3 linked regions of the Mus musculus genome follow. The protein of the gene in region 2 interacts with the protein of the main gene of each other region in a biochemical or structural test. Links are inferred from orthologs where the notes say so. Each region holds a gene or a part of one and is shown on either strand. Other genes may lie near its edges. The genes, in order: Thra, Ncoa6 and Tgs1.

Region 1 (9,912 bases), on a different chromosome or scaffold from region 2:
GTTTGTACACCTCCATTTTCCTCGCACTAGGCTAGCTACCCATCACGCTGCAGGGTCCATCACTGGAAAGGTCTCAGTGTAGAACTAGTGGCTAGTTTTTTTTGTGTGTGTGTGTATGAATAACTGTCAGCTGTCCATCTCCTTCCCAAGTCTACCCCCCTTGTAACTAAGACCCTAGCTGCTGTCAGTACTCCCCAGGAAGCAGCTAGCTCAGGGGTTCCCATGTATGAGATGGCCACTGGAGTTACACCTCCCACCCAAACCAGAAGCTTAATGTATTGTGCAAAGCAATGGCCATGGGTATTTTGGGGCCGGACTTGGTTATCATAAGTAGCATGTGATGGAGAGTTTCTAATAACGACTAGGTTGACCGGCCGTGCTATATTTAGTCTGTGTGGGAGAATTGCTTCTTACTCCAAGGTTAGGGGGTCTAATGTTCTGATGATGACTGTGTGAATGACAGACTTGATGGCTGATACCCTCCCCTTGTGTTCTCTTATTTAGGTGGTGTTATCACCTACATTGGCTCTAGTGGCTCCTCCCCGAGCCGGACCAGCCCGGAGTCCCTCTACAGTGACAGCTCCAATGGCAGCTTCCAGTCCCTGACTCAAGGTTGTCCCACATACTTCCCACCATCACCTACTGGCTCCCTCACCCAGGACCCTGCCCGCTCTTTTGGCAGTGCGCCACCCAGTCTCAGTGATGATAGCTCCCCTTCTTCTGCATCATCGTCATCCTCTTCATCCTCCTCCTCCTTCTATAACGGGAGCCCCCCAGGAAGTCTACAAGTGGCCATGGAAGACAGCAGCCGAGTGTCCCCCAGCAAGGGCACAAGCAACATTACCAGTAAGTCAATGCCCAGCTGATGTAGGGGGAAAGGAAGTGAGCCCAGACGTAGTTGATAGAGTTGGTTTCCATCTGAGAGTTACTCTTGGGGAGGTGGGAGGGGATGGGGGTCTGTGCTCTGGCCTTTGGAATTTCTCTTAAGAGTTTGTGCCAGCTCCTATCCAGTCCAGTCCAGTCACCTAGACGTGAGAGCCCCTCAGCTTTCCCCTCCTAGAACCTTGAGCCCAGAAGGAGTCCGTATTACCCTCTGCCTGTCTCTTCCCACAGAGCTGAATGGCATGGTGCTACTGTGTAAGGTGTGTGGGGACGTGGCCTCAGGCTTCCACTATGGAGTGCACGCCTGTGAGGGCTGCAAGGTGAGGCGGGTTAGGGTTGAGGACCTGGGCAGGGGATGCATGCACAGGCTCGGCTTAGATGAAGACATTCATGCGTCGCCCCTGCCTTCCAGGGCTTTTTTCGCCGGAGCATCCAACAGAATATCCAGTACAAACGGTGTCTGAAAAACGAAAACTGCTCCATCGTTCGCATCAATCGCAACCGCTGCCAGCAGTGTCGCTTCAAGAAGTGTCTCTCCGTTGGCATGTCTAGAGATGGTAAGGCAGTATTCCCATATCTCCTTCTCGCCCCATTTTCTTCCACCCGGCTTCTGCCTTAATCCCTCCGTTTAAGAAAGAGCCTCAAGTTGAGAAGGATGGTACTGTGAGTGTTGTTTACATGGAGGATACCCAGGTGCTAACCTCTTGGGCAAACACACACTCTTCTACCATTCATATCCCCCCCCACCCCCACCCCCTGGTCATCTCCTCTCACACCCCCTGAATGGGTGTGGCTTTGCTGGTTTCAGTTTTGATGTGGAACCCCCCAGGCTTTTAGGGTCTTGCTTGCCCTTTCGGGCGGAAGGAAGGAAGAGACGCATGTGAGTATGTCAGGACTTCCTGACACGGTTCTCGCCCTGTTGCAGCTGTGCGTTTTGGGCGCATCCCCAAGAGAGAGAAGCAACGGATGCTTGCCGAGATGCAGAGCGCCATGAACTTGGCCAACAACCAACTGAGCAGCCTGTGCCCTCTAGAGACCTCACCTACTCCACATCCCACCTCTGGCTCCATGGGCCCCTCACCTCCTCCTGCACCAGCCCCCACACCTTTGGTGGGCTTCTCTCAGTTCCCACAACAGCTGACACCACCCAGGTCTCCCAGCCCTGAGCCCACCATGGAGGATGTGATATCCCAGGTCGCCCGGGCCCATCGAGAAATCTTCACCTATGCCCATGACAAGTTAGGCACCTCACCTGGTAACTTCAATGCCAATCATGCATCAGGTAGCCCTTCAGCTACAACTCCACACCGCTGGGAGAGTCAGGGATGCCCGTCTGCCCCCAACGACAACAACCTTTTGGCGGCTCAGCGTCATAATGAAGCGCTGAATGGTCTACGCCAGGGCCCTTCCTCCTACCCGCCTACCTGGCCTTCTGGCCCCACCCACCACAGCTGCCACCAACCTAACAGCAATGGGCACCGTCTGTGCCCCACCCACGTATATTCGGCCCCAGAAGGGGAGGCACCTGCCAACAGTCTACGGCAAGGCAACACCAAGAATGTTCTGCTGGTGAGGGCATGGAGCCAGTGTGGAGAGAGCGAGGGGGCCTTGGAAGATTGGGACTAGAGAAAGACAGCCAGTGTTCCTAGAGGCTGGGGGTGGGGACTTCTGTCCAGGAAAGGACATTCTACCCCAAAATCTGGGTTTTACCTGGGAATCCTTAATCACCATTCGGCACCTGATTACCGATTTAGGTGAGAGACCCCTTCTCAAGGGCCACAGCTCTTAGCCCAGACAGTACTTGGAACCAGTCCTGTTGGGGAGCCCACCCAGCTAACATGTCCCTCCTTACTCCATTCTCCTCTTAGGCATGTCCCATGAACATGTATCCCCATGGACGCAGCGGCCGGACTGTGCAGGAGATCTGGGAAGACTTCTCTATGAGCTTCACGCCTGCCGTTCGGGAGGTGGTAGAGTTTGCCAAACACATCCCAGGCTTCCGTGACCTTTCTCAGCACGACCAGGTGACCCTGCTTAAGGCTGGCACCTTTGAGGTGAGCGGTACTTTTATGTTCCCTGCTCTTGACTGTGGGAGGGCCCCAGTAGTGTGGTGACTGGAGTGGGAAGGGCTTCCCAGAGTCTTTGGCCCTGTGTTATCTCTCTGTCTGAGGAGATAGAACTTGTAACACCGCTAGCTCGGCACCTCAGGGTCTGTGGGAAGTCTATCCTCTAGGCTGGTGTTGCCTCCAAACTCAGTGCATCAGAGTAACCAAAGAGACAACTCTCCTCTACTCTAGGCCGGAGCTGGTGACCTTCGGTTAAATTACATTCCAGAAGTGGCGGGCACTCCCACCTGCATCCCTCATTGACCAATCAGAGACTGACCCCCTTACTGACAATCTAAGGAAACACCCCTCAAAGTTATTAGCAGGCTCTAGGGGTCATTTGGCAAAATGCCCCTCCCATCTCACTCAAAAAATGTCCACCCTCCCTTCAGGTGCTGATGGTGCGCTTTGCATCGTTGTTCAACGTGAAGGACCAGACAGTGATGTTCCTGAGCCGCACAACCTACAGTCTGCAGGAGCTCGGTGCCATGGGCATGGGCGACCTGCTCAATGCCATGTTTGACTTCAGCGAGAAGCTCAACTCCCTGGCACTTACCGAGGAGGAGCTGGGCCTATTCACCGCGGTGGTGCTTGTCTCTGCAGGTGAGCCAAGCTCTCCCCTGACCCTGGAGGAGGCACACGCAGTTCAATTCAACATACCTTTTATGGAGAACCTACTCTATGCCAGGCCCAGCACTGGGCACTGGGCTACAGACATGATTCAGACACAGTCTAGCTTGGGAAACAGACTCATGCCCGACTAATTATAAAACAGCGAGAAGTGTCACACAAGAAGCATGAACCAAGTAAGCACAGACGACTATTTCTGCCCGGGAGAGCTGGGGAAGGAGGTGACACTTGATGTGGGGCCTCAAAGGGACAAGATAACTGCCAGGCATAGAGAGGGGGAAGGGCATCCCAGGCAGAGGGAACTACAGAGCAAATAACAAGGGAGCTTGGCCACGAGTGGCATGCTCAGGGTAGGAGGGTGGGCTCGAGGAGTGGGAGGTGGCCAGCCTGTGGCCATGCTCCCAGCGTGTGGGCGTGGCCCCGCTCTAGGGCAGAGGCCCCCCAGGGAGAAGGAGTAGCGCCCTCCTTCTCCTTTCCCGTTGCCCTCCGAGGGGCCTCAGGGAGAGGCTGCCTTGCCTGCCTGGTCCTCGCAGACCTCCGTGTCCTCCGTGTCAGAGGAGGAGCTCAGGGAGCTCGCCTCACTGCTGTCGTCTTCCCCACAGACCGCTCGGGAATGGAGAATTCCGCTTCGGTGGAGCAGCTCCAGGAGACGCTGCTGCGGGCTCTTCGGGCTCTGGTGCTGAAGAACCGGCCCTCGGAGACTTCCCGCTTCACCAAGCTGCTGCTCAAGCTGCCGGACCTGCGGACCCTGAACAACATGCATTCCGAGAAGCTGCTGTCCTTCCGGGTGGACGCCCAGTGACCCGCCCGGCCGGCCTTCTGCCGCTGCCCCCTTGTACAGAATCGAACTCTGCACTTCTCTCTCCTTTACGAGACGAAAAGGAAAAGCAAACCAGAATCTTATTTATATTGTTATAAAATATTCCAAGATGAGCCTCTGGCCCCCTGAGCCTTCTTGTAAATAACTCTTCCCCCACCCCCACCGCCATGCTCCCATCCTCCCCTATTTAAACCACTCTTGCTCTCTCCACCCTCCTCTGGCCCCTCGATTTGTTCTGTTCCTGTCTCAAATCCAATAGTTCACAGCTGAGCTGGCTTCTGTGATGTGTGCTCGTTTGGGGAATTGGGGTGGGGGTGGGGGACTACTGCCAAGGGGGTGTGGGGGGGGGGGAAGACACCTCTCCATCTGGTCAGCTTGTGGGGTGGGTACTCTGCCAGCAGATGGGAGAATATGGGGAAACAGCACGCAAGTCTAAGGGGGGGTGCCCAAGGGGGTTATTTTCATCATATATTTATTACATAAATATATAGTAAAATAGACGAGCAACAATTACCATAAAAATATCTTTCTTTAAAATCCTGACCCAAAACACAACGGGGTGAAAAATTCGCACATAACAGACATACTGATTGTCAACTGTGGGGCAGGAGGAGGAGCCCCTCAAGTCACCCCTGCCGGTCCCACCCATCTCTGGGGAAAGGACCTATCTCCTTCCCTGTTTCTAGCCACAACCCCTCCCCCCACCTCAGCACCAGCTTCTCATACATTCAGTAGCGCCTCTGGGTAGTGTCCCCCTCCTCCACCCAGGAGTTCCTAGGGCAGGAAGTAATTTCCCCCTTATGGATGGACGGACGGTGTCCATGTCACACGCCCTGCTCTCTCCCAGCCCACCGCCCGGGGAAGGGGTAGGGGCTCCTCCTCCCCCACCCTCCCCAAGTCTGAGCAGGGAGGAGGCTGGATGAGGTATGTGTGTTATAAGTGATGGGGGGGGGGGAATACTGAGATGGAGAGGCAGTGGTAGGGCAGGGTAGTGGTCATGGCTCTGGCACCCCCTTGTCCTGGCCTGGCCCCCCCAACCTTCTCCCAGCAACCCACCCCTCCCATCAATACTGCACCTGCTGCCCCACCCGGCCTGCCCTAGTGCCCCGGGCCAACATTGGGGGAAGGCATGCTAAGCACCCATGCCAAGGCCATCCCCCCATTAGCACCAATGGCCCCCAGGAGAGGGCCCTGTCCCCCACTTCCATGGCAGGGACTGGGACAGCTGCCTCTCTAGAGCAGGTGCGTGGCACTCCTGAGTCTCTCTGGCTCCTCCCACAACGTAGACTCACTCATCCACTCACACGAAGGAACACACACATACACTCCACATCACTGAGGGGGAGGGGAAGGGCTGAGGGGCAGGGGCTCACAGCTCATATGATTGGGGGGAGGGGGGAATTCCCAAGTGCCTATAAGAGGCCATGCCTATGGCTGAGAATGGGAATGGAGGGGAGTGGAGTCAGGGGAAGAAGGGAGACAGCAGGCAGGTCAGGAACTCCACTGAGTCCCCAGGTATGGGAGGGAAGTATGAGAGTATTATCCATGGGACTGGAGGAATACAGAAATCAGTACCCCGGGAGAGAGAGAAAAGAAGATAGAGATGAAGATAGCACAGGTGGCCCAGGGGCCCCAAGGAGTGGGGCAGGCACATGCACAGGTGACAGGAGATGCTCCTCCAGGCCCTCTGCCCAGTTGGAACACCTGAACAGTGGCAAAGGACACTGCCTGGGAACAGCAAAGCATTGCCTTCCACGTGTGTGTGTGTGTGTGTGTGTGTGTGTGTGTGTGTGTGTGTGTGTGTGTGTGTGTGTGTGTGTGTGTGTGTGTGTGTGTGTAGGGGCTGTGGCAGGCTGAGGGTCAGAGTGGGGTGGCAGGTTCCCCACTGCTTAAGACATTTTTGCCCCAATAGTGCAAAGCGCAGGAAGCCCTGGCACCCCTCCCCCGCCCCCTGCCCCATTCCCCATGGCTTCCGGGGGGCATCTATGTCCACCCATCCATCCCTGCCGACATGCAGCCCTGAGCCCAGGGCCACTGGTCTGCTCTGTTCCTCCTCCTCCTCCCTTCCCTTCCACTCTGGGAGGGCCACCTCCTCCCTCCCTCTCTCTCTTTCTCTCTCTCTCTGCAGAGGAGTGGGCTGTTAGCCAAAGGGAGGAGGAGGAGGAGGAGGAGGAGGAGGAGGCAGCTCACCCAAGTGCAGACCAACAGAGCACTCCTCACCAAAGGGTGGGAGGTGGCTCAAGCCAAAGTCCCTGAATTAGAAAAGAAGAGGGGAGAGGGGTTCCCAGGGGCAGAGGGGTGGCTGGCCTAAAGAGCTTCAAAAAAAATGGGAGGAGAGCCAACTGTCTCCTCCCCTGGGCCCCAGCTAAGTGCCACTGATAGAAACACCCCCCACTGCATGCCAACCTGCCCTATGTCTGGCTAGCGCATCAGTGGGAGTCAGGAAGGAGAGCAAAGGGAGCCCCGAAGACAGACAGGAAACAAGAGTCCCACAGGGGTGGAGGTTCTGGGAGACACACATGTCCACCCCACCCCACCCCAACAGCAGCATCTGGATTGTAGCTAATACTGCAGGATATGAAGAGGGAAGGAGCCCGGGCCACAGTTTTTCCTGTGTGGGTGTCAAGGTATGGGGTGGGGGGACAGGAGGCCCCTGGGGCTGGGCACTTGAAAGGGGAGCTGTGTGGGCAACAGGGCAGGCTGGTGAGGGGCCAGCTGGCATCCAGCGTGAGAGGTAGATGGAACTCAGCGGGCACAAGTGGCAGAGAGCAGAAGTACTGGGGTGCGGTGCCAAAGGGGCACGAGGGTGGGGGGCAAGGCAAGGGGGTTGCCGGGACCCTGTTGTATCCTCTCACAGCTCTGGGCGGCAGCCCTACCTCTGTAGGTCTGCCTGGGGCATTTCTCTCTGGGGGTCGGAAGGGCAGCTCTCAAAGTGCATGGGGGTGGGAAGGGCAGGGTTAAGGGGGGGGGAATCCTTCCCCTTGGGCCAGCCTCAGCTAATAACTTAATATCATCTCTCGCTCTCTCGCTCTCTCTCTCTAACGCTCTCTTTTTTTGTCTTTTTGTTTTTGTTTTTTGTTTTTTTTTTCTGTCTAGTTTTTCTTCATTTATATTCTCCCCTTGCTTGGTTTCCAAAGTGCAGTTAGGATGACTACCATTTTTTTTTAGCCTCCAGGGGAGGAGCTAAGCCAAGCCAAGCCAAGCCAAGCTGTCCTTTGCACCCAGGACCCAGGTATTTGGGGAAGTAGAGACCTGTGGCCTGAAGGGAAATCTAGGCCAAGGAACTTGGCAGGGCTCTCTGTGTGTATAGGGGTGAGTAAGGGCACCTGCCCCTACTCCTCATTCCTCCTGACCCTACAGTCAAGATGGCATGTCCCTCTCAATTCTTCCTACTTCCCTTCCCCTACTTTTTTTAGAGGTTGGGGTCCCAGAGACTCTAGAACTTGGGTCCTAGCCTCCCATACTGCCTTTCATAGCAAGTTCATTTATGGCCCTGTCCAAGGGCTGGAGGGTCTGAGGGGGCTGGGCAGTGCAGGGGTGTATGGGAGCTGCATCTATCCAAGGATGGGAGGAAGGAGAGAAGAGATGGGGGTTCTCCCTCAGCCCCCAGCTCTGTCCCTTCTCTCCAGGCTCCTCCCCACCAGCTCCGCACACCCTCTGGCCGCCTGAGGCTTTAGACTTCCTGATCCTCAAAGACCTCCAGGAAGAGTGGGGGGAAGAGTTCGGTGGGGCACTCGACTTTCATGTGGAGGAAGCGGCTGGCGTGGCAGGCCCCGATCATGCGGAGGTCAGTCACCTTCATCAGCAGCTTGGGCCAGAAGTGCGGAATGTTGTGTTTGCGGTGGTTGACGTAGTGCTCAAACGCCAGCAGGTAGGCCTCCTGACTCTTCTCGATCTTGTCCACGCACAGCAGGCCGGAGCGGTCTGCAGGGAGCAAAGAGAGGCATGAGGCCCGAGGACAAGAGGGTCTAGGAAAGCCGCAGGAGAAAGCATGATGGGATACTGAGGCAGAGAGACTGGGAGGGATCAAGGGGAGAAAATAGCACTGAGGGACGAGGGTAGTAGCAGGAGGAGGTGGCTGGGGCTCAGGGAGGGACACTGAGGACCTGCGGCCATGAAGCAATCCATAAGGAAGATAGTGAAATCGAAAGACGGCAGAGAGGAGAGGGAGGCTGGAAACAGAAAACGAATGGGCAGAGAGAGGATTGGTAGTGAGAGGCAATAAGTAAGCCTGGAACCAAACAGGAGGGCAAAGAAAATAGAATAGAGCATAGGCTAGCAGGGCAGGGGATTGTAGGGGTCATAGAGAGTCAGCCTGGGAGGGAAGGGGTGAGACAGAACCTATGCAAAACTAAGGAGAGAGGCAAGCAAGAGCCCTGGGAACTTGTGGCACCTCTCAGCCACAGCAAGATACCTGTTGACATTAGCAGCACAGCCTGCAGCAGAGCCACTTCCGTGTCATCCAGGTTAAAGGCAGAGAGTGACTTGCCCAGTTCAAAGATGGCGTCAGAGACCACACCCAAGCCACCATTCTTGAGCTGTTCCCGCTTAACCGCCATCTCCCCACTCAGGGTCAGGGTGTCACTCTCAGGGTCGTAGCGGACAGCTGCCCGCAGGGACATGATCTCCATGCAGCAGCCCTTCAGGAGGATGATCTGGTCTTCGCAAGGCAGCTGTGGAACAGCAGGATCACAGAGCACTTCAGTGCATCCTCTCCACACCCCACAGTCTCCCCCACCCTGTGCTGGGCTGAGCCCGCCCCTCCTGCACTGTTGCACTTAAACCTCACAGCTATGTCTAAGGGTGTGGTCCCATCATTCTCCCAGTCTCCTTCAGAAACTGAAGTACAGAACACGTAGGTAACTTGGCCAAGGTCCCACAGCTAGTACAGCAGCCTGTTTCTAGTTAGTGCTAGGCAGAATGAAGAGATGAGTCATGCTGCCTGCAGATAGAATAGGAGTGTGTGTGTGTGTGTGTGTGTGTGTGTGCATACACGCATGTGCTGAATATCTATAGATCTATAAGAATCACTCCATGTCCAGAGAACATGAGAAGAATACCCAGTGAGGCTCTGTGACCTGGGAAGTGACCCGAGACTCTCTCTAACAAGTCTCTCCTTCCATCTGCCACTCACCTCGGAGAACATGGGCAGTTTTTTGGCAAAGTCCACCACGCGCGTGATGGCCGGGGTGATGATCTTGGTAAACTCGCTGAAGGCCTCTAGGTCTACCTTGTCTCCGTCCGGCATGGAGACAATAGGTGACTGGCCAATGTCATCCGGCTAGAGGGAGAGAGACGAGGGTCAGCTGGGGCTGCAGACCCCTTTCACCCGCTCACGGAGACTCCCTACCCACCAGGGGGAGCTCCAAGGCAGCTTGGGGGGGGGGAAAGTCCCAGCGGAGCCTGCTAGACAGCTCTGCCTCTGCCTCAAGGCTTCAACATTAGGGGAAGAGGATAGACCAGAGCCAGCATTTC
Region 2 (11,129 bases):
ATCACATAACATCTTCTCTCAGTTTTTTGATACGGAGTTTGCTTTGAATTCCATTAACAAACTTCCTTTAAAGTACTGCCAAGGTCTATTTAAAATTTGATTTAGAACCTCACACATTGGTGTAAGAGCACATAATTTAAAAAAATGGACCTATAGCTTTCTGCCTACAGATTGTGTTGGCTTTGAGTATATTTGCTTCATTAAATGAATTGGGGGGCTGGCAAGATTGCTCATTCAGTGAAGGGGCTGCTACTAAGTCTCATTACCTGCACTCAGTCACTGAGCCACATAAAAGTGGAAGGAGAACAGTGACTCTGAAGCTGTCCTCTGATGTCCATGTGAGTGCTGTGGCATGAGTATGCCCACATAGAAACAAATCATAAGTGCAATTTTAAAAAGCACTGAAAGGTTTTTATGGATACGTGTATACTCTGGAACAACTTCAGGCCATTAGACATCTGTCCTCTTTAAAGAAGTATTTTGTTTTTCATTAAGTTTGTATATGGTGCTTAGGGGTGAAGGGGACCCTGAAGATGGTCATGGCAGGGAAATGAACTGTAAAGAAGTGAGAATGAAAAATTGGTTCAGATTTACTTCATTAACCTAGATCAAGACTCTGGGGAGTCTGTTGCTGTGTGGTGTATTCCCAACAAATTTAAACGGTATAATTTGGAATAGCTTTCCTGATGTAATACAATCCTTGGTGCACAAGGAACAATTACACTGAAACTTAATTCAGGGTACATGTCATTTTTTCCGAGAAGATGGGTTCTAAAGACAGGAGGCTACCTGTACAAGCTTAATGGCCTAAGGAAGGGTCTGGCCTGTCTCCGTCATACTGACAGCAGAGAGGTCATCTGTGCTATAAGCCATCTCTGGTCCTGGTTGTGGGAGCTTGGAGGAGCCTCTGGCTATACAGATAATGTAAGGGTCATTCCTACTACTGAGTATCGCTGTCTGGGTTGTGGGAGCTTGGGGAGTCCCCTAGCTGTGAGGATCATTTAGATTACTAACTACTTTTGTTCCTGAGTTTATATTGGAGCTTGTTGTGGTCTGGTCCAACAGATACCACTGACCAGCAGCTTAGTCACTTCCAATTCCCAACTTTCTGGATGGAAAAACAGGTTTTGAGTCTTTCCCCTTGGAAAGACAATCCTGTGTGTATAACATTCCTGGTCTCCCTGGAGATCTTTGGGCTTAAAGACCTTCCTGCTGTGCTCTCAACCTAAGAATATCAAAACATTTATATTGTAGCTTGGCAGTAGCACGTGCTTTTAATCGCAATAGGCCAATGAAAGTGGATCTCTGAGTTCAAGGCCAGGCTGGTCTAGAGTGAATTTCAGAGCAGCCAGAGCTACACAGAGAAACCCTGACTCAAAAAAATAAAACAAAACAAAAATTTATACTATGAGGAACAAAATCTTGGCCAAAATAGTCACAGTCAGCAATCCTTTTTTGTTTCTGTTTTGTGTTACTTTGGTTGCTTGCTGTTTTCTCTTTTTTTCCATGGTGGGGGCAGTAAAGGGTTGTTTTTTTTTTTAAATAGTTTTGTATGTAGTCCTGGCTTTCCTAACTCAGTCTGTAGCCCATGCTGACCTCAAAAGGCATGTACCACCACTGCCTGGCTTGTTTTCCTTCTTTACTTTCTTAAGTTAACAAGTTATATAACTTTAAAATAGTCTTCCAATATTGACGTATTGGACCTGAGCATGGTAGCATATGCCTGTAATCACAGCACATGAGAAGTTGAGACAGGAGGATTGCCAAGAATTCAAGGTCAAGAGGCACATCCTGCCTCAAATATTTTTAATAATTTACCTGTTTACTTTTGTTTTATTGGATTTTTTTTTTTTTTACTGTTTTATTAACTTGAAACACTGTCTCATACAATGCAGGCCTCAGATTCTCTTTGTTCCTGACTGGCCTTGAACTACTGATCCTCCTGTCCTAAGCGCTTCCTCCTTCCAAGTGCTGAGATTACCAACCTGAGCCGCTGGGTCTGACCCGTTTTTTGATTATGGCCTTTAATTTGTGCCCTTCTTGCCTCTGCCTCCTGAAGGCTAATTGCAAGCAAGCCCCACCATGTCTGTCCTTCTGTTTCTAATTGAGTTCTAGTTTACTGATGTCGTCACTGGCTCCCTTTTAGCGCATTAGCTCACTCTAATGATTTTTTTCTAACTTTGAGGCAGCTATTTATTTACTTACTTCCCCCTATAACTCATGTAGATATTTTATGATTATTAATTTTCTTCCTCATTAATTTGCCTGTATTCTTGGGTTCCTATAGTTGTATTATTTATAGTTCTCTAGAAATATTGCATTTCTGCTTGGTATTTTTTTCTTAACCTGAATCTATAGGTTTTGCTATTGCTGTTAGATAGAGCTCTGTTTGTTGGTTTTCTTTTGAGATAATCACGTAAGTGCATTGTTACTAGAGTATTTGAGTACTCACTCATTGTGACTAGAGTATTTGAGTACTCACTCATTGTTAGTAGAGTATTTGAGTACTCACTCTATTGTTGTTTAAGATATATTGAGGTTTTTTCCTTATGGCCTAACTTTAAAAGTACCTTTTTCTTTAATTAAAAAAGCAATTAAATAACAGTTTTTGTTATTTATTAGTACATATTCATCTAAAGTTTCAAGATTATAGAAATCAATATTGAGCTCATAAGATAGTTTCTCTGAGGAGAGGGACACTTGGCCACCAAACCTGAAGACCCTAGTTCAGTCCCCAGGCTGGTGGCAGTGAAAAGCTGATTCTCACAAGTTGTCTTTTCACCTTTGCACAGTTACACATGTATGTATGTATGCACACATTAAATAGATGTTTCAAAGATTTTAACCAGTATGTGGCAATAACAAAATTGTAACACCAAAGTTAAAAATGTTATAGTCTGATACTGTCTTATTAAGATAGGTAATTTTTTTCTGAAGCGTGCCAAAAAAATTAATTTCCCATGTATAATTTGTATGTTTGCCGTAAAGAATGCTTTAAAATTTAAACTAAAATTTTAATTAAAACTACAAGATGGAGCTGGGCGTGGTGGTGCACGCCTTTAATCCCAGCACTCAGGAGGCAGAGGCAGGCGGATTTCTGAGTTTGAGGCCAGCCTGGTCTACAGAGTGAGCTCCAGGACAGCCAGAGCTATGCAGAGACACCTTGTCTCAAAAAAAACAAACAAACAGGGACTGGTGAGATGGCTCAGTGGTTAAGAGCACCGACTACTCTTCCAAAGGTTCCAAGTTCAAATCCCAGCAACCACATGGTGGCTCACAACCATCCGTAACGAAATCTGATGCCCTCTTCTGGAGTGTCTGAAGACAGCTATAGTGTACTTACATATAATAAATAAATGAATCTTTAAAAAAAATAAAACGCCTGACAGTAAAGCGACTCTTCTCACAGACCTGCTTTCCTCTCAGTGCAGGTCGGGCCCTCCTTAACAAACAAACTACAAGATATTGTGAATAAATAAGGAAAATATTTATACTTTATGGATTTTAAAAATAAGTTTGAAATTATGTTAGAAGATGTGAGTTTTGTATTAATGTGAATAGAAAATATTCTGTGGGGCTGGACAGATGCTCAGATGTTAAGAGCGCTGGCTGAACTTCCAGAAGACCTGGATTGCCTCTCAGCACTGATACGGTGGCTCACAACCATCTGTAACTCCAGTTCCAAGACATTCGACACCCTCTTCTGGCCTCCATAGGTACTAAACACACATGTGATACACATATATACATATAAGCAAAATACCCATGTCCACAAAAAAATCTTTTAAGACTTGTAAAAAGAAAAATATTTGTCTCCAAATATCTATAGGTAGTTTCCTTGTTTAATTTGGCAAGGTTAAGAGTAAAAGTCTGGAGGGTGCAAGAAAGCCAGAATTCCCAGTTCTGTGGCTCTTACATGAAGCTACTTGGGGTTCCTGAGTTTTGCTTCTTCATTCTACATGTGGGATAAGTTTTCTAGTGAAAACTGATTTAACAATCTCTAGAGTTTATGTATTTATGTATGTATTTATTTATTGTTCGTATTTTTAATCTTATTTCTTTATAATACTGTTTCTCTTCCTCCCCTCTCCTCCCCTCCCCCCCCCCTCTCTCCCTCTCCTCTTCTCTCTCTCTCTCTCTCTCTCTAAAAGAATTCTGATTGGTTGCTACTTTGACCTATAAGCCCTAAAGATGCCACCTTGCTTGGACTTAGAGGATGATCTGGATAAATGATAATTAAGACATTTTGGTAAGTGAAAGTTTATGTAAGAAATTCTTTTTTTTTTTAAGTCTACCTTTTTGGTTTTTCTTTTATTTTAAATTTGTTTTATATGTACTGTGTATATTTTGCATTCTTGTATGTCTGTATAACACATTCATGAAATTTCCAAGGAGGCCAGAAAAGGGTGGGTGACAAATGCCCTGGAACTGAGGTTACAAACAGTTGAAAACCTCCATGTAAGTTCTAGGAATTGAACCTGGGTTCCTAATTTCTTTCCCAGCATATTATCAGTACATAGAGAACCTAGCAATTTACTTTTATTTGCATGTGTGTTTATTGGTGCCTGTGGAGTCTAGAAGAGGATATTAGATCCCCTATAGCTGGAGTTCTAGGCAAGGTTGTGAGCCACCTGACATGGGAACTGAGCTTCAGTCCTCTCAAAGAGCACTTCACTGATGAACCATTTTACTAGCCCTGCTACTGGGTTTTCTAGGTTAATTTTATATCCCTGATATTTTCTTGAAAGTATTTACTACCTAACTCTTAATAGTTACCTTGAGACGTTCTTAGTATGTTTTAAGTAAGTGATCACATCTGTAAGTAGGAATGATTTGACTTCTGCCTTGCTTGTTTCTATGCTTTTTATTTACTACAGGCACTAGCTGGGCTGATATAATAGCACATACTTTTATTTTATTTTATATTTTGCATACACCTTTAATTCCAGCACTCCAGAGGCAGAGGCAGAGGCAGGTGGATCTCTATGATGAGTTTGAGGCCAGCAAAGTCGACAAAATGAGTTCCAAGACAGCAGAACTACACAGAGAAATCCTGTCTCAAAACAAGCAAACATACAACAAAGAGTTCAAGCACTATAATCAGTATGACCAGGGGTGAAGTGGGGCTGGAGAGTTGCTTAGGGGTTAGGATACTTGTTATTTTTGCAGAGAAGCCAAGTTCACTTCTTAGCACCCACACAAAACTATTGGATCCTCTAAGAGCAACATGTTCTCATAACTGCTGAGCCGTCTCTCCAGCCTCCACATCTTATTTCTATTGTATGTGCATATCTTGTAGGTGCATATGCCACCATGAGGTACAGAGGTTAGCAAACAGCACACAGAGGTGGTTGGTTCTCTCTGTCCTCACAAGGCGTGGCTACAAGTGCCTTTACACACTAACCCATCTCACCAGCCCTCATTGTATGGTGATCATTTTTATTTTTTTTTTAATTTTTTTTTTTTAGGTTATATCCTTTTGGTTTAATTTTGGTAATTCATGTATTGAGAAACATACCAGTTCCTTCTAGTTTTAACAACTTACTGGAAGTTTTCAAAAATTCCTTAGAGATCCTCTTTGAATCTCACTGCTTTAATATCTCCTTTTTAGTCTATGTATTATGTATATAATATATATTATGTATGTATACTTATCTTTTTTGAGGCCAAGCCTCTTTGTATCCCAAACTGGCCTTAAACTCCCTTTTAGCCAGATATGATCTTGGGTTTCTGAGATCCTCCTGCTTCCATCTTCCATGTGCTGGAATTATAGGTATGTATCGCTATGCCTGATTTGTGTGATGGTGGGGATCAAATCCAGGGCTTTGTGCATGTTAGGCAAGCTCTATAGCAACTGAGCTGCATCTTCAGCCTCCTCATTTTCTTAATTCATGTCTATTTATTTTGGTCAATTTGGTTATCTTATCAAAGAACTCTTTGTTTCGTTAATCTTTTATATTTTTCTTTTAATCCATTTTATTAACACCTATCCTAACATTTATTTTATCTTCCCCTTTTTTTTTGAAGAAAATGTTTAAACATCTGTTTATTTACTGTTGTGTGAGTGGGCTTGGTGTGTGTTTAAGTCAGATGACAACTTGTAGTTTAATTCTCTCCTGCCGTCATATGGATCTTGAGGGTCAAACTCATCGGCAAGCTTAGGAGCGGTCCTAGTCACCTGCTAAGTCAGCTCACCCGTCTGTGTCATGGCTTTCCAGCTACTAATTTTGGTTTGGTTTACTCTTGTTTAACTTTAATGACATATATCATTAAGTTATTTTTCTTTCTGTCCTACTTTGAAATGGTTGCTAAATACCTACAGTTTTTAGGCAGTTTCAAAACTCAGTCTTTCTCTTGCTAAGTAAGCAGCAGCTTTTTAGCCTTAAAATTTTTTTGTTAGTTTTATTTATTTACTTTTAATATTATTAGAAATTCTTAAATGTAGCTGGAGAAGTATAGTTATTTTATAAAGGATTTTTCTGGGTGCTGTTGTTTGAGACAAGAGCTTACTTCTGCAGCCTGGGGTGAGCTCAACTTATGATCTTCCAAAGCGCTGGGGTTGCAGGTGAGCACTGCTAACACTCAGATCTATTGATTTTCCTGTGTCACTTTGTATATTTCTCCCAATAGTCTAGTCTTAACAAAAAAAAAAGTAGCAAATAATATTATGAAAGGAAATTTTATCTGGTAAATAAATTACATCTTTTATAGAGGTATGGATAACATATTAAATAAAAATGATATGCTGACTATATAATGATAGTTTATAATACTCTGCATCCTCTCTTTTTCTGAAGGTTTACTTACTGTTCACTTTGCATATACTTCTGGAATAATACACCATGGTTTTGGATGACCTTCCAAACTTTGAAGACATCTATACTTCCTTGTGTTCATCTACAATGGGCGACTCAGAGGTGGAGTTTGACTCTGGACTAGAAGATGATGACACGAAAAGTGATAGTATTTTGGAGGATTCCACAATTTTTGTAGCCTTCAAAGGAAATATAGATGATAAAGACTTCAAATGGAAACTGGATGCAATATTAAAGAATGTGCCCAACTTGTTACACATGGGTAATTAATCTTTGCTTTCTTCTTGTTGCTTTGACATGCTTACTTGCCTACAACCATGATGCTAGGATTACAGGTTTAGGCTACCTTGCCTAGTTTTAAAAGTTGCTAGTAAAGTATATTGTAATTAAATAAATTTCAAATATATTAACATTAAAATTAGTATAGAGCTATCTGATGTGTGTGCAGAACACAGATAAGTTTCCAGTAATCATTAGATTGGAAGAAACTTTAGTGTCTTTGTCCTGTGGAGCCAAGATCTAAAGTTTTTCAGTGTATTGAAACATGTCTCCAAATGTGATGGAAAAGCAGGCTTAACACTTAGAGCTTGTCTGATTTCACTAGGTTTCAACTCAGCTTGCTTAGCCTTTCTCTGGGTCACAGTTTCCTTACCTTTAAGAGCACTTTGACTAAACATAGTCTAAGCATTTTTAAAATTTGTAAGTATATTAATCCCATCACCCTTAGCAGGTGGTCTGCTTTGTTCTTGTTTTACATCACAACAATAAATTCTGTGTTAATATTTTGTATCTAATGGTTTAAGAGCTGGAATGGGCTTAGGTGGCATATTGAAACGCTCTTCATGGATATCTGGATTTTGAGAAAGCATTTTCCTATAGAGCTATTTTATTAATATTGAAAGATGTAATTTGGGCAGTGTCACATACCTTTAATCCCAGCATTTGGTAGGCACAGGCCAGCCTTGTTTACAGAGTGAGTTCCAGAACAGCCAAGACTACACAGAGGAATTCTATCTCAAAAGAAAGAGAGAGATATAATTGAATAAAGGGTATGAACTGTTTAGTTGATCTGAGTTTATAACATAAGGGAAAATATTTTGTTTGGAGTTGCCAGATAGCTTTTATTTCCTTTCTTATCTGTGAAATGTAATTACAAACAATACTACTACCTCAGTTTACTTTGTAAATCTTTAATTGTAAAATACATATAGTAGAGTTTGCCATCTTTATGATTTTTATATATGGCTCAATGATTCTTAAATGCAATTAAAATATTATGCAACAATTACTAGTAGCTATTTTTATAACTCTTATAAAATTAAGATCTATAACTATTATATAATAACTTCTCATTCCCTACCTATTCAAGCCCTTAATAAGCACCATTGCACTTTTTTTTTTAATTTAAAAAATTAGATTTATGTGTATGGGTATTTTGCCTGCATGCATGCAATGTCCATAGAGGCCAGAAGAGGGCATCATATCTTCTGGAACTAGAACTACAGCCAGTTGTGACTTCCCTCTTGTGTGCTTAGAATTAAACCTTAATCCTCTGGAAAAGCAGCCAGTTATCTAACTCTCCAGCCCCCTTGCTTTATTTTTACCTACCCTATCAAAGCAAAATCCTGTATCTTTATTTCCTGTTTTATTTCCTTTAGCATAATATTCTCAGTGTTTGTCCATGAGCTGTAGCACATGCTAGGATTTCCTTCCTGTTTCAGGCCAAATATTCCACAGCATGTATGTATATACTACATCGTCTTACTGTTTATCTGTTGCTGGGCACTTGAATTCCTTCCGTGCTTTAGCTGTTATAAATAACGCTGCTGTAAATGTGGATATACTCTTCCATATTGTGCTTTCAATTCTTTGGACTGTATCCTTAGAAATACAAGTGCTGTATTATATTGCTGGGGACCAGCCCTGATATTCAGTTACTGAGGTGGGAAACAGCATCAGTCAAATGCCAAAGGCTGATGACCTCTGACCTTCTAACTCTCTCTTACTGTCTTGGGGGCCAGAAGCTGATGCAGTTTCATAGGGAAAAAAGAAGGGGGGGGCAGGCGCACATGTATGCACACATTCACACTTTGGCTGGGCCTAACCACCTGTTTCATCCATTTCACAAGTGTACATGCATACACATGTACCTACATACATATGTATGCCCAGACATATATAACATATATATATTTATATATATGTATGTATGTATGTGTGTGTATGTATATATATATATATTTTTTTTTTGGGTGGAGGAGCAGAGCCCCAAAAGCCATACTTTATTTCTTCTTTCCACCTTTTTATACCTTCTTACACAAAAGTTCTTTATAAAATTACCTCATAGATAAAATGTTACACAAATGGGGAGTTACAGTAGAATGTCAAAAGCAGTGTTTCATTCTATAAGCCCATTATAAGTTCAAAACAACAGTTTCACATAGCCTTGCTTTATCATAGTGCTCACCTGTGGTTTCATCTTTGGACCTGACCTAGAATCAATGTTTTCCTTGATCACAAATCTTTCTCAAATCTATTTCTCTTCTTAGTATAATTTATGAAAGCTTATCATACAGCCTTTACTTACTATTCTATGAAGAGGGGCACATTCTATTCTTGACTCTAACACTAAAACCATCTCCTTAAACTTTCTTCCTAAAATTATTTGAATTCTATAAAGTCATTAATTCATCTAAACAGCATTAATTCATAAATGTTTCATCTTCATGTTGAAGTCTGTAGGAAATTTGCTCAATAGAGTGGACTGATGCCCAAGAGTCATTAGGCTATGTAATAATGGCAGGAATCAGCCATTATTTTGCTGAAATGGCCAGCATATCAGCAGTGAGAAGCAATCCTGGGGCGAAGTCTCTGGGGCTGTGCCTCCTAGAAGGTCTATCACAACCATGCAAAATGGTGGGCCATCTCCAGGAAACTCGCTTGCTATAGCCTTTCCTAGATGTCTGGCTACTGTCATTATATAACTTTCTTTTTTAATTCCTCACCATATAGTTCTCTTAGTAGTTGTACTTTTTGTGTATTCCCATCATTAGTGCACAGGGGTTCCCAATTTCCCCCATATCATTGTCAACATTTGCTGTATTCTACTTTTATAATGACCACCCTAATGTGATATGGTATGTAGTCATTTGATAGTGTGTTAGGTTTGTTTGTTTATTTAGTTGGTTGGTTGGTTGGGTTGGGTTTGGTTTGGTTTTTGTTTGTTTGTTTGTTTGTTTTTTTCAAGACAGGGTTTCTCTGTATAGCCCAGGCTGTCCTGGAACTCACTCTGTAGACCAGGCTGGCCTCGAATTCAGAAATCTGCCTGCCTCTGCCTCCCAAGTGCTGGGATTAAAGGCATGCGCCACCACTGCCCAGCTTGATAGTGTTTTTTTAATGCACAAAATCACTAAGAAGTCCAGTGTTTCAGGCCAGGCAGGAGTGATGCACACCTTTAATTCCAGCATTTAGGAGGCTGAGTCAGGTGGGTTTCTGTGAGTATGAGGCCAGCCTAGTCTATAGAGTGAATTCCAGGACAGCCAGGGTTACACAGAGAAACAATGTCTCAAGGAGAAAAAAAAAGTTTATTGTTTCTATTTTTTTCTTTTGTTGCCTGTCCCTTTGCTGCCACATCCAAGAAATTACTGCCAAGTTCAAGGTAGTGAAGGTTTGTCAGATATTTTCCTCTAAGAGTTTTAGGTCCAAATTTAAGTGTTCCATTTTCGATTAATTTTTGTACATTATATTAGGTATAACTTCACTCCTTTGCATATGGACACACACGTTCCCTAGAGTAAGTTAGCATTTGTGCATTCTTAAGAATATGTCCAGAAGTTTGTATAGGTTTTAGAGTTGCAGAATGCCAAATGCTTTTCTGTCCTAAAGGAAGCTGACTTGTCAGAGTGTATGTTTCCTCCCTCTGTTGTAGTTCAGTGAACTCTGCTCTTATTTAAAATAGGGATTTTTTTTTCAGTTGCTCATTCTCAAATGCCTTCAAAATTAATAATGTTATTCTCTTTTCTTCGTGACCAAGAATCCAGCAAGCTAAAGGTACAGAAGGTGGAGCCCTGGAACAGCGTGCGAGTCACATTCAACATCCCCCGGGAAGCAGCAGAACGGCTACGGATCCTGGCTCAGAGCAACAACCAGCAGCTTCGGGACCTGGGGATTCTCTCCGTTCAGATTGAAGGTTCGTTACTTTGCCATGTGCCTATCTGAACCACAATACAGTAACAGTAGTACCCCTGCGTAATTTCTGATGCTGCCTTGTCTAGCAGTTAGGAGAGACTTCTCTGCTTGCCATTATATGACATC
Region 3 (11,104 bases), on a different chromosome or scaffold from region 2:
TGCTGTGTATATGCTACGTATGCACATATACATGAAATCTATATTCCAAATGAGAGAAAATTTGATATTTCTCTGAGTTTGGCTTATTCTGTCTGTTTAAGATGATTATTCACAGTTCATTTCAATGATACAATTTCATTGCTCTTTATGGATTAACATCACTGTGTATATAGGCCAGTTTATTTATCCACTCATCTGCTGACGGATACCTAGATCAACTCCATAACTTAGTTATTATGATTAGTGCTACCTACAATATACAGGATTCGCAAGTATCTCCATAAGATGTGGACTTAAGATTCTCGTGGGTCTATTTCCAGAAGTGATCTGTCTGGATTATTAGGTAGCTATATTTTTAGTATTTTTGAGGCTCCTGCATAATAATGGACGATTCCATCCAACAGTTCCAAAAAGCTTTTCTCACTCAGTTCTAACATGACATATATTTGCTAGGACTATTGCTTTTTCCTTAAGGACAGTCATGGTATGGTGAGATGGAATCTCTACGTAGTTTAGATTTGAAAATTTTTTCATGTATTTATTTTTGACCTCTTTATAGCATAATTGTTAAATTCTAGGTTCACTTTCTCTTTCTAGTCACTATTCTATTGTTTTGAAAAGACATCATGACCAAGGCAATTCCTTTAAAAAGAAGCGTTTATGTCCTGATTCTCAGGTCACAGGCAGCAGAAAGGGGAGGGGTGTACAGACAGACAGACTAACTGGGTCTGTTGTGGGCTTTTGAAATCTCAAAGCTCATCCCAGTGAGACTCCTAATGCTTCCTGAACAGATCCTCTAACTGGATTCAATCATACAAATATATGGGGACATTCTCATTCAAATCACAACACTGCTGCCAAAAATAGAGTGGGTAGGGGATGAAGAGATCCCTTCATGGGTAAGAACCTTTGCTGTGCATGCCTGTGTTTGCCAAGACACAGGCAGAACCTAGGAGCTTGCTGGCCAGCCAGTCTATCTCAAATAGAAAGCTGTGAATTTCAGTGACAGACCCTGCCTGACAGGAATAAGGCAAAGAGGAAAAGAAGAAAGCATTAGGCATTGTCCTCTGGCCTCCTTATGGACACATGATTGTATGTACCCACACCCATACAGAGGCAATGAGCCTACAGACAACACAAAGTGGTGGTCTGAATGTTAAGTGTCCACTTTATAGCCTCAGGTATTTAAACACTTGGTCCTATTGTTGGCAGCACTGTTTAGGAAGGTGGTGTATCCTTCTTGGAGAAGGCACATTACTGCGGCAGGATTTGAGAGTTCACAGCCTTGCCCACTTCCAGTCTGTACTTTCAGCTTTCTGCTGCAGTTGTCTGTTGGCATGCCTCCTGACATGGACTCTTCCTTTGGAAAAGTCAAAATAAACTCTTGCATAAGTTGCTTTTTGGTCATAGCCCTTTGTCACAGCAACAACTAATACAGCTAACGTGAAAGACACAAGGATACTTTTGAGAAGCTCAGACCTTTAGGGGTGTTTCCTTTTTATATGCATTCTTCTTTCTATCAACATTCATGCTTACCTCTGTGTTCAAAACCTCAGCTTCCTAGAGTCTTTTCTGCTGTGAGGTTAAACATTCTGTCTTCATTTAAGTAGCTGTCTCTAAGAAGTCCTCCGAGGGTGCTGTAGGTGACAGCACAGTTATTTCTGCACTTTCTGCCCCACTATGACTGACAGAACCTTTCTCTATAGACAGAGGTTTTTTGGAGAAATGGCCTTGGAAACAGGTCTAAAAGAAACAAACAGGTAGGTGTGAATGGGAAAAAGCATTCCTAGTAACCCAAGCTCTGTGTAAAGTCTAGAGGCAGTTAAAGCCTATGAAACTGAAGGAAAAGACTAAGAAGACAGTCAGTGAAGTAAGCAGGGGGTCAAAATATATAGGATTGTACAGAAGCCTGGATTGTCCTTAATTTATAACTGTGGTCCAATTTTAGAGTGACATACAATGAATATCCACATTCAGTAGAAACTGAAGTTTAGCTTTTGAATTTATAGTTCACATTTTAGATTTTTGAAACTCTAGAAGATTCACTTAACCATTACCCCCGGGAAAATCAAAAACCAAATTATATACTTCAATATACAATGTTACAGAAAGAAAAATGGGGGCACTGTGAGGACATGTTGGACCAAAGCAAGACCAAATTCTGTAGCTCTATGTCATAAGGCTGGACTTTTAATTTCAATTTCACTGCCAAATTTGCAGTGTTTTCTATGTAGTACTAGCTATTAAGTCAAGAGTGAAGGGTTCTGGATTCTTCCTGAATCTTTTCAGAGGTCTCTGAGGGAGACCAAGCAACATGTTACACAGATGCAACCCCTACACAAAGGCTGAAAAAGTCATTGCTGGTAGTTTCTCTCTGAAAGAAACAAATTCAATACTTTAGCCTCAGGCAAGTTCTCAGGACTTGGACAGAAAACAGCCAGATTTTGCCAAAACAGCACAGGAATGGATAAGTTAGTATGAAAATCTTGATTCCCTCTTGAGCTGGGACTCTACAATCTATCTTATTCTCAACACTAATGCCTATCAGGTTCTAACTAGAATGGCCTATTAAGCTCTGCTTATAGCATCCAACTTCTTTTCTAGTACAAAGTCTTCCACATTCCTCCAAAAACCCACCACAAAAACAAATAAACAAACAACCCAAAACCCCAACATGGCCAGGTTCTTCACAGCAACAGCCCATTTTCTGGTACCAACTTCTGTCCTAATTACTTTCTGTTGTGATAAAACACCGTGATGGAGAGAGAGCAACTATGGAAGACATTATTTTGGCTTACAGTTCCAGAGAAGAGTCTATAATGGCAGGGAGACATGGCAGCTGGCAACTGGAAGAAGAAGCTGAGAGAGCACATCTTCAACTGAAAACATGAAGCAGAGAGAATGCAAACTAGAAGTGGGCAACACTATGAACTCTCAAAGACTGCCCAAGCTATCTACTTCCTCCAGCAAAGGTTTACCTCCTTCCCAAACAGTGCCACTAATGGGAACCAAGTGTATACAGACCTGAGCCCATGTTTGGCTCAGTTTACTCATCAGCCATGTTTCTGGTGGCTTCTGAAGCTCTATCTCAGTGGGTCAATAAGAAGTTCATGTAAGATTACAGAGAAGCCCCTGATGATAAATAGGATTATAACTGATAATGAGAAATTAAGATGTTTTTACTGTGAACAAACGTTAGTCTTAGAGCCATTTCCAGAAAATTTCAGGTTCACATCTATAAACTAGTAAGTAAGACCACAAAAGTTTATGTTTAAGCATGGGTTAATTGTTATTTTAGCAGTCTCTAAAAAAACAAAACAGAACATATACATAGATACATACATATATACATACATACATACATATGGCAGAATGTGGTGGCACACACCTTTAATCCTAGTGTTGGGAGCCAAAGACAGGCAAAGCTCTGTGAGTTTGAAATTATACTGGTTTACGTAGTGAGTTTTGGGCCAGCCAGTCACTCAGTCACTTGGTAAGACCATGTCTTAAAGTCTTTAGGGTTGGGTCTCTATTTGCACCACGTGGACCCTGAGGATCAAGCCCAGGTCCTCAGTATTGGTGGTAAATGCCTTTACTCATTGAGCCACCTCACTGCTGCAGTCCAACTTTTCTTCCTTTCCTTTTTTTCTTTTTCTTTTTTTCTTCTTCTTGAGATAGGCTTTCTTTGTGTAACAGAACCCTGACTGTGCTAAAACCTATCTGAAGACCAGGCTGGCCTCGATCTCAAGAGATCAGCCTGCCTCTGCCTCCCCCTTCCTGAGTGCTGGGATTAAAGGCGTGAGTATTCACACCAGCCTATTTTAATACTTACTCAAACTATTTTTACATAAAAGTAATGTTTTCACTCAGGCCATTTTTACATAAAATTCTGTTAAGGATACTGGTTTTCTCGACTTTCTGCCAAAAAGGCACTTCAAGAAGACTCTAAATGGAGGAGTTCCTTTCCTCTCCCAAGGCTTCATATTTTTCACTGTCCATCCTGCCAGATTGCTATCAAAGCACCACAGACATGTCTCTTATCCAGTTGAGTTAACTGAGTAATTGTGCAAACCGCTACCTTAGTGCAATATTGATCTCTTTTGCTTAGAAAGTGAATTCAGCGCAGCCTGGTCCCATCTTATATTCCATTACCTACCAGCATCTAATAGGAGCATAAAAAAGAACTTTACTGAATTAAATGTACACCTGAGCGTTGGGAGTCATTTTTGTCTGCTTCTGTAAAAGCCTGTCTGTTAGGCGGAGTCAAGGCAGGTCAGGCTGACAGATTTCCTGGCCTGCCAACGGCATGGAACAAAAAGCTACAACTGAGGCTCAAGGAGAGAGGCTGAACGTTCGATTAATCTTTGTGGAAGGAACAGGGAGGCCTCCGGATGGGAACAGATATCCATTCTCTGTCAGCCATTGTCTGTGCTAGTTTGTGACTTTGTTTCCCATGATACTGTAAAGTGTATTAAGGTTATGAGAAATACATTTGGGGCCAGTGTGGTTCAGGCCTGCAGCCCTCCGGATTTCTAACCTTTGTCTCTGAGTCTTCTTTTCGGTCTTATAATCATCCTCACTCCCCCACTAGAAGACTGTTCAACTCTGAACCAGCAGGACCTGTGCAAATGAGCCTAGTACATTTTTTAAATGTTAAATTTAACATGGTGTTATATTTCTTTTTTGAGGAAACTTTCAGATATCTTCCCTCAAGTACATAATGAAAATGAGTACCTTCAAATTTAAAATTTGTCAATGCTTTTCCCACCAGAAGGTACTTTCTATTCTGGCAATTTTAAACATGAAACCAACATTTCCCCCAGAGATGTCTCTAAAACTGCCATAAACAGTTAACACTTTTATCTCAAATAATTAGACGTTTCAGATACATAAATTTTTGTTGGAAAGGATTTTACAGTTTGCAAATAGAGCTCTAATTTGATCCTTCATCTCATCAATCTATTTGTATTAGTTTACACTTCACACTCCATCTTACTGGTATAGCTCAGGATGGTCTTGAATTTGCTATCCTTCTGCATGGCCAATACCTGGGCCATCTCGCCCGACTCAACCAATGTTGAGATTGGCCCTTCATTTATGGAAACCCGAAATGACACATATAAGGTACCACATTTAAAAAAAAATCAAAATTATATTAATCTTCCCTTTAGTAATTGCAGTAGAACATTCCTTCATGCCCGCGGGGTTTCGAGTTTCTTAGACATCAGGTCATGTGGCTTTCTGGAAAGCCTCTCTCTAACTCTGCGACACCCCCATTCCTGAGCAAGGACAGAAAGTGAGAGAGGACCGTCGCGACTTACTCCACAAATGCCCGGGAGCAGAGGCAAAGGATCTTGTACTCCTCCTCGCGGTCTTCAATGAAGAGCAGCATTTCGGCCACATGGTTCCACTTCTCGCAACACATTTCGTTATCCGGGCTCGCTCTGGTGTTGTCCGCGACTGGGCCGGGCGCTGTTGCTGAAGACAGAAAGGCGTAACTCGCGCGGGCAGAGGAGCGGAACGCGCCTGGGGACGCTCGAGCCGGGAGCCAGCCAGCCGCGCTACCGGAAGCAGCGACAGCAGCTACCGGAAGGGGCGGGGCGACCGACGGTCCTACACCCAATGTGGCTCGGCCTTCTTCCTCTCAGGCAGTTAAAGGAAACCGGCACTACCCGCGTGTCTGCTTCTCCCGGCTCTGCCGCCGACCAGCTGCCGAGGTCGCCGATTTCCTGTGACTTTCTTGTCAGGTGCGTCGAGCTCCCCATGGACTTCTCCATGCTGTTCTAGCCGGTAGCAGGCGTGGTGTCCTGGTCGCGGGGCCCGGAGCGGAAAGCCGGACTAGTTCCCGGCCTCTGCGCCTGCGCCGTGCAGTATATCTACAACTGCAGTATTCCTTCCTTTCATAACTCCTAAATTCAATATACCAGTCTAGATGTGAATTATAGATAGGCATGGTGGTATACACCTTTAATCTCAGACTTGGGAGGCAGAAGCAGACAGATCTCTCTGAGATCAAGGCCAGCTTAGTCTGCAGAGCAAGTCAGGTCCACACAGATGCTGTCTCAAAAATAACTAAATGTCTTACAGCATTATTGGAGAGAGTGACTAGAGTTAGACTATGATGCAGTAGAAGAGTAGTCATTAAAAGAGTAGGGGACTTTAACCAAAAGTAGAAGAGCATTTTTATATTGAAAAACAAAATCTTTGCAAGGTAATGTACATCAGAACCCGGAGAAAGAAGCTTGAACTCAAGGGGTTTTTGTTGTTTGTTTTCTTTTTATTGATAAGTGACACATGGGTGTGAGGAGAAGGCTTATTGGTTATTCGAGTTGGTTAAAGGGACAAAACATTCACGGGTGCATGAAAGTTGTCCTCCGCCTTCACATGCTCACTCATGCATCCTCCCCACAGGGTCAGGTGATTAAAAAAAAACATTTTAAAATTCTTTAAAAAGCCAATGGCATGTAATAATTTTACATATTTCTGGGTCACGGGGCAGCATTTCAGTGCATGTAGAAGATCATGAGAAGATACATTCATGAGAAGATCCGGGGAAACGATATATTTCTCACCTCAGACACTGTTTCTTTGTGTTGGGGCATTCAAACTGTTCTCTCTTAGCTGTTTTTGGATACTCACTTTGTAATCCAGTTTTCCTACTGTGCTTTAAAAGTTAAGTCTTCCTTTTGGCTATGCTCCACACCCACTAAATCACCATGTCTATATACTTCCCTGCACTTGTCCTGACTCGCTGTTAATCTTTGAGATTAACTTCCTTGTATGAGAGACTGATATGGCACCACCCAGAGTTAGTGTGAGACTTCCCACCTCCATTAACAACAGCAAAACCAACCAAACAACCTCACAGACATTCTCAGAGGTTTGTCTCTTAGGTGGTTCTAAACCCATAAGCTGACAGTCAAGAGTAGCAACAACAGTGTTGCTATCTATTCTTCATATGTTTGATAGCCAGTGACTATTCAAGCCCCCCTTTTAATGGGATTATTTGGGTTTTTTGACTACTTAGAAATAAATCTTTTGACTCTAGAAATAAATCTACTGTTCAACTAATAGTTTTTTTTTTTGTTTTTTGTTTTTTGTTTTTTGTTTTTGTTTTTTTTTTGTTTTTTTTGCTTTGGATGTCTGTTCTTTGGAGGGCATAGTTTCCCCTATATTTTCTTTTAATACTTTAAAGGGCAAAATAACATTGCTGCCTTTGTTTAAAAGAAATTGGTGGCAAGAGCGTGGGTTTATTTTTATATTCTGTTTGGTTTCCTTGGTCTACATGTCTTCATGACAGTTCCATGTTCTGGTTACATTGAAGGTGGGTATGGTAATGCCTTCAGCATTATTCTAGGGCTCGGGGTTGCTTTGGACATTTCGTCTTTTGTGTCTCCATGTGAGTTTGGGGATTGTTCTAGTTCTATGAATGTATTTTTCTATTTCTGTGAAATGTCTGATTTTTTTATTAGAATTTTGCTGAATCCAAATACCGTTTTGACTAGTATGCACATCTTAACAACATTAATTTCTCCAAAACAAGAACATGGAATGTTTTCATTTTTTATATCTTCTTAATATTTTGGCCTTGTTTTTTATAACTTTTGTTGTAGAGATCATTCTTTTTCTTTGTTAAAGATATTCTTCATCTCGCTTAGGTTTTGAATGTACACTGTGCTCATAGCTGGAGGTAATATATATCTATATACATTACATATATATACACATATATATACATATGTACACATACACACACATATGTATATACCTGCAGTTTTCACTGAGGCTTACTCTATGAGGTTGTGAATTTTCTAGTGTAGAATTTTCTACTTGATGGCATTCAGATTTTTCAGTTTTGGAGCAGCTTGGGTTTTGGGGTTGACAGTGGTTACTTAACCTATATAGAACTTGGTCCTATTCTTAGTTTTAGGTATCTACCTGAGTCCTAGAATGTACACTTTGTGGTTAAAGGAGACTACTATAATTCTATTAATAAGTTTTCTAAGGAGGTACTAAATAAAGCTATAAAGTCACAAGATGCTAAAACTTATTAGCCGGGTGGTGGTGGCACACGCCTTTAATCCCAGCACTTGGGAGGCAGAGGTAGGCGGATTTTTGAGTTCTAGGCCAGCCTGGTCTACAAAGTGAGTTCCAGGTCAGCCAGGGCTATACAGAGAAACCCTGTCTCAAAACAAAACAAAAAAACAAACAAAAAAACCAAAAAAAACCCCAAAACCTTATTAAAATGTAAACAAGTCTATTGGAGTCAGTGCCTTAAACAAAAACAGCCAAAGTTTCAAACTGTTAATTGGGCCTAAGCAATTTCCTTTAACCTATATGAAAGTTTAAACATTTTGTTTATTAGCAGTGTTAAATACAAAAACAATTTTTGAGGTACAGTTCACAATAATATGTACCATTTTATACTGTGTAGATTAGTGGGTTCCGTCATCCTTACTCTCTAATTCTAGGGTATTTCGTTATCTCTTTGACATTCCCCAGCTCTGGCAACCACTAACTTTTCAAATTACCTTGTTTTGGGTATGACATATCAGTGGACACAAACTGCCTGGCCATTTGTCATTTTGTTTGTTTTTAATTGTTCACTCATGTTGCAGCAGGTCTCTGCTCTCTTGACTGAGTGGTGCTGTATTATATGGCTATATCATTTGTATCCACTCATCAGTTGGTGGGCATCTTAATCTACTTTTCAACTATTATGAATGATTCTGCTACTAATGCACAAGTTTTGGTGTGAATGGTATGTCTTTAGTCTTCTTGGGAATATATGTAGTAGTAGATTTGTTGGGTAATATAGTAACATGTTTAGCTTCTTCAGAAGCTGTCTGTCTGGCCTCTAAAGGCAGTAAATATTGCTATATTGAATTTTAAATGGTCAAATGCTGGTAAATTATGGTTTAACTCATATGGTGGATTTGTTAGTATAGTGACTGAATTTTATTACAACTTTTATTATTTTATTATCAATTTTGATCTTGATTTGATTAAGAAACACCTGGTACATTAGTGAAGCATCCCATTGGCTGTGTCTGAGAGAGTATTTTGAGTATTTTGAAGGGGTTGACCATGGCACTGAATAAAAAGGAGAAAAGCAGAAATCATAGTGACCACTGGCATTCCCTTCTCTGTTTCCTATTTGTTGCCACAGGACCAAGTCTTTTATGCTTCCATACCTTCCTGCCATGATTTCTGATTTCCTTTGAAATCAACCCTTCTTATTGTCATCTGCTTTATTTGTTGGGTATTTGATGGCAGTGATGAGTATTTTAGAGAGAGAATTTATGCAATATATTTGTAGCTATGCCTTCAGTCATTTATGTTTTAACAGAACTTTTAGTGATGAGAAGGGTAACCAATGCAGCGATATAATAAAGTGTAGGTTGAGGAGCTTAATATCTACTGTGTTACCCAGTGCTGCCAAAGAAAAATGCTGTTCATTTCAAGGAGATCAGACCAAGTCCTCTATTAGTCAAAGTATGTGCTCTGTTACAAAGCTATCAGCAAGATAACCTTGGTAACAAGATAGTATTTAATTATTCTTGTGTGAGCGTCTGGTTTATTCTCTTTTATTTACTCCTTTCCTGACTGTCACAAAGACTTTGAGATGGATTTCTTAAAATTATCTAATATTAAATGACGGTTAAACTTCTCTAGATCAGACTTTGTAGCAGTGAACATATGAATGAAGGAAGGAAATCTTACGTAGGTAATTATGTCCTAAGGATAATTTAGTTTTATTATCAAACATCATGATGAATTGACTTGTAGCCTATTATTAAAAGTTAGTAGGAAGTGACAGCCCTTTAGACATCTTACCTTTATACTTCCCTCTTATAGATGTAAATATTTATAGCTGTAGTACAACAGTTTCTTGGGTGGGCCTTAATAGAAGCTGTGCAGAGTAGCCTGAACGTAACTTGTGACATGCTTAGGGCTGTCATTATTTGTTAGACATTTGTGGCTATCTCCTGCCATTATTTCATGGAAATGTAAACTTAAGGGACTAATGATTTTTTTTGGTTTAGTAATATATTTCATTTGTTTATTGTGTTTTCAGAGTATATGCATTGAAGCTAAAGACAAGATATTTGTGTAATTTGTGTAATCTGGTAAGTCAAGTAATTATTTTAGAGAGTGAGCTTATGCAATATTTTTGTAGCTGTGTTTTCAGTCATTTACATTTTACCAGAAATTTTAGTGACTGTAAGATAAAAAGTGCAGTTTTTAATTCTGTAATGTCAAAAGAGCAGATAAACTCTTAGGTAAACCAGCTTCTCTATCAAAGAAACTATCCATGTGGATAAGCCATCATTTCCTAAAGCTCTGGATCACTTTACTGAATCAGACGCTGATGCTTTCCTTTGTGAAGGACACAGTTAGTCCCAGAATAAAGAGTGAAATTTTGAGCTTGGTCGATGGAAGATGTGGGTTAGATTATAAATTTGAGTGGCAATTTCATTCTGTATCACCTTTTCCCTCTTAATTCACAGCTTGCAAGTTATTTCAAAAGCTAAACCCAACACTTCATAATTTTATATAGAAAACCTTATCATTCTCACAGTTAAGTGTTAAAAAACCCTACTTATCTTTGTTATTAAAGATGACTATTTTAGCAAAATAGACTTAACATTTGACTTCATAGTTGTAAAGAGAATGACTGCATCTTTTTCCCTTCAGGCATTGAAGTTGGAACATATGGCAATGAAGAAAGAGACAGGATTTGGGATTTTCATCTAAGAACATGATAGATAACAACCAAACCTGTGCTGCAGGACAGGACTCTGTGCCCTATGTGACCTGTATGATTTATGTGCTTGAGGAGTGGTTGGGTGTGGAGCAATTGGAGGACTATCTGAATTTTGCAAACCATCTTTTGTGGGTTTTCACCCCACTGATACTTTTAATACTTCCTTATTTTACCATCTTTCTTCTCTACCTTACTATTATTTTCCTCCATATCTACAAGAGGAAGAATGTATTAAAAGAAGCCTACTCTCATAACTTGTGGGATGGTGCAAGGAAAACGGTGGCAACTCTGTGGGATGGACATGCGGCTGTTTGGCATGGTAAGCAGGGTACTGCT

What was found.
Region 1: the proteins of Ncoa6 (region 2) and Thra form a complex in vitro, tested with the Homo sapiens proteins (2 studies listed by BioGRID). The link is inferred for Mus musculus from reciprocal best matches to the Homo sapiens genes NCOA6 and THRA.
Region 3: the proteins of Ncoa6 (region 2) and Tgs1 form a complex in vitro, tested with the Homo sapiens proteins (2 studies listed by BioGRID). The link is inferred for Mus musculus from reciprocal best matches to the Homo sapiens genes NCOA6 and TGS1.

Annotation. Positions count from the first base shown.
Region 1 is NC_000077.6:98,762,727-98,772,638, reverse strand, and holds the end of Thra (thyroid hormone receptor alpha), read right to left. Parts: intron 9,719-9,912; coding exon 9,572-9,718; intron 9,111-9,571; coding exon 8,852-9,110; intron 8,362-8,851; coding exon 8,234-8,361; coding exon of another isoform or gene 8,111-8,233; exon of another isoform or gene 4,483-8,110; coding exon 4,114-4,482; 3' UTR 3,633-4,113; downstream 1-3,632. Other genes in the region: Nr1d1 (nuclear receptor subfamily 1 group D member 1), read left to right, coding at 505-846, 1,114-1,202, 1,295-1,439, 1,808-2,451, 2,751-2,936, 3,380-3,590, 4,220-4,419.
Region 2 is NC_000068.7:155,433,808-155,444,936, reverse strand, and holds the start of Ncoa6 (nuclear receptor coactivator 6), read left to right. Parts: upstream 1-4,153; 5' UTR 4,154-4,249; intron 4,250-6,797; 5' UTR 6,798-6,842; coding exon 6,843-7,077; intron 7,078-10,848; coding exon 10,849-11,004; intron 11,005-11,129. UniProt on the Homo sapiens protein: Nuclear receptor coactivator that directly binds nuclear receptors and stimulates the transcriptional activities in a hormone-dependent fashion. Coactivates expression in an agonist- and AF2-dependent manner.
Region 3 is NC_000070.6:3,569,347-3,580,450, reverse strand, and holds the start of Tgs1 (trimethylguanosine synthase), read right to left. Parts: upstream 5,573-11,104; 5' UTR 5,426-5,572; coding exon 5,322-5,425; intron 1,744-5,321; exon of another isoform or gene 1,537-1,743; intron 1-1,536. Other genes in the region: Tmem68 (transmembrane protein 68), read left to right, coding at 10,763-11,087. UniProt on the Homo sapiens protein: Catalyzes the 2 serial methylation steps for the conversion of the 7-monomethylguanosine (m(7)G) caps of snRNAs and snoRNAs to a 2,2,7-trimethylguanosine (m(2,2,7)G) cap structure.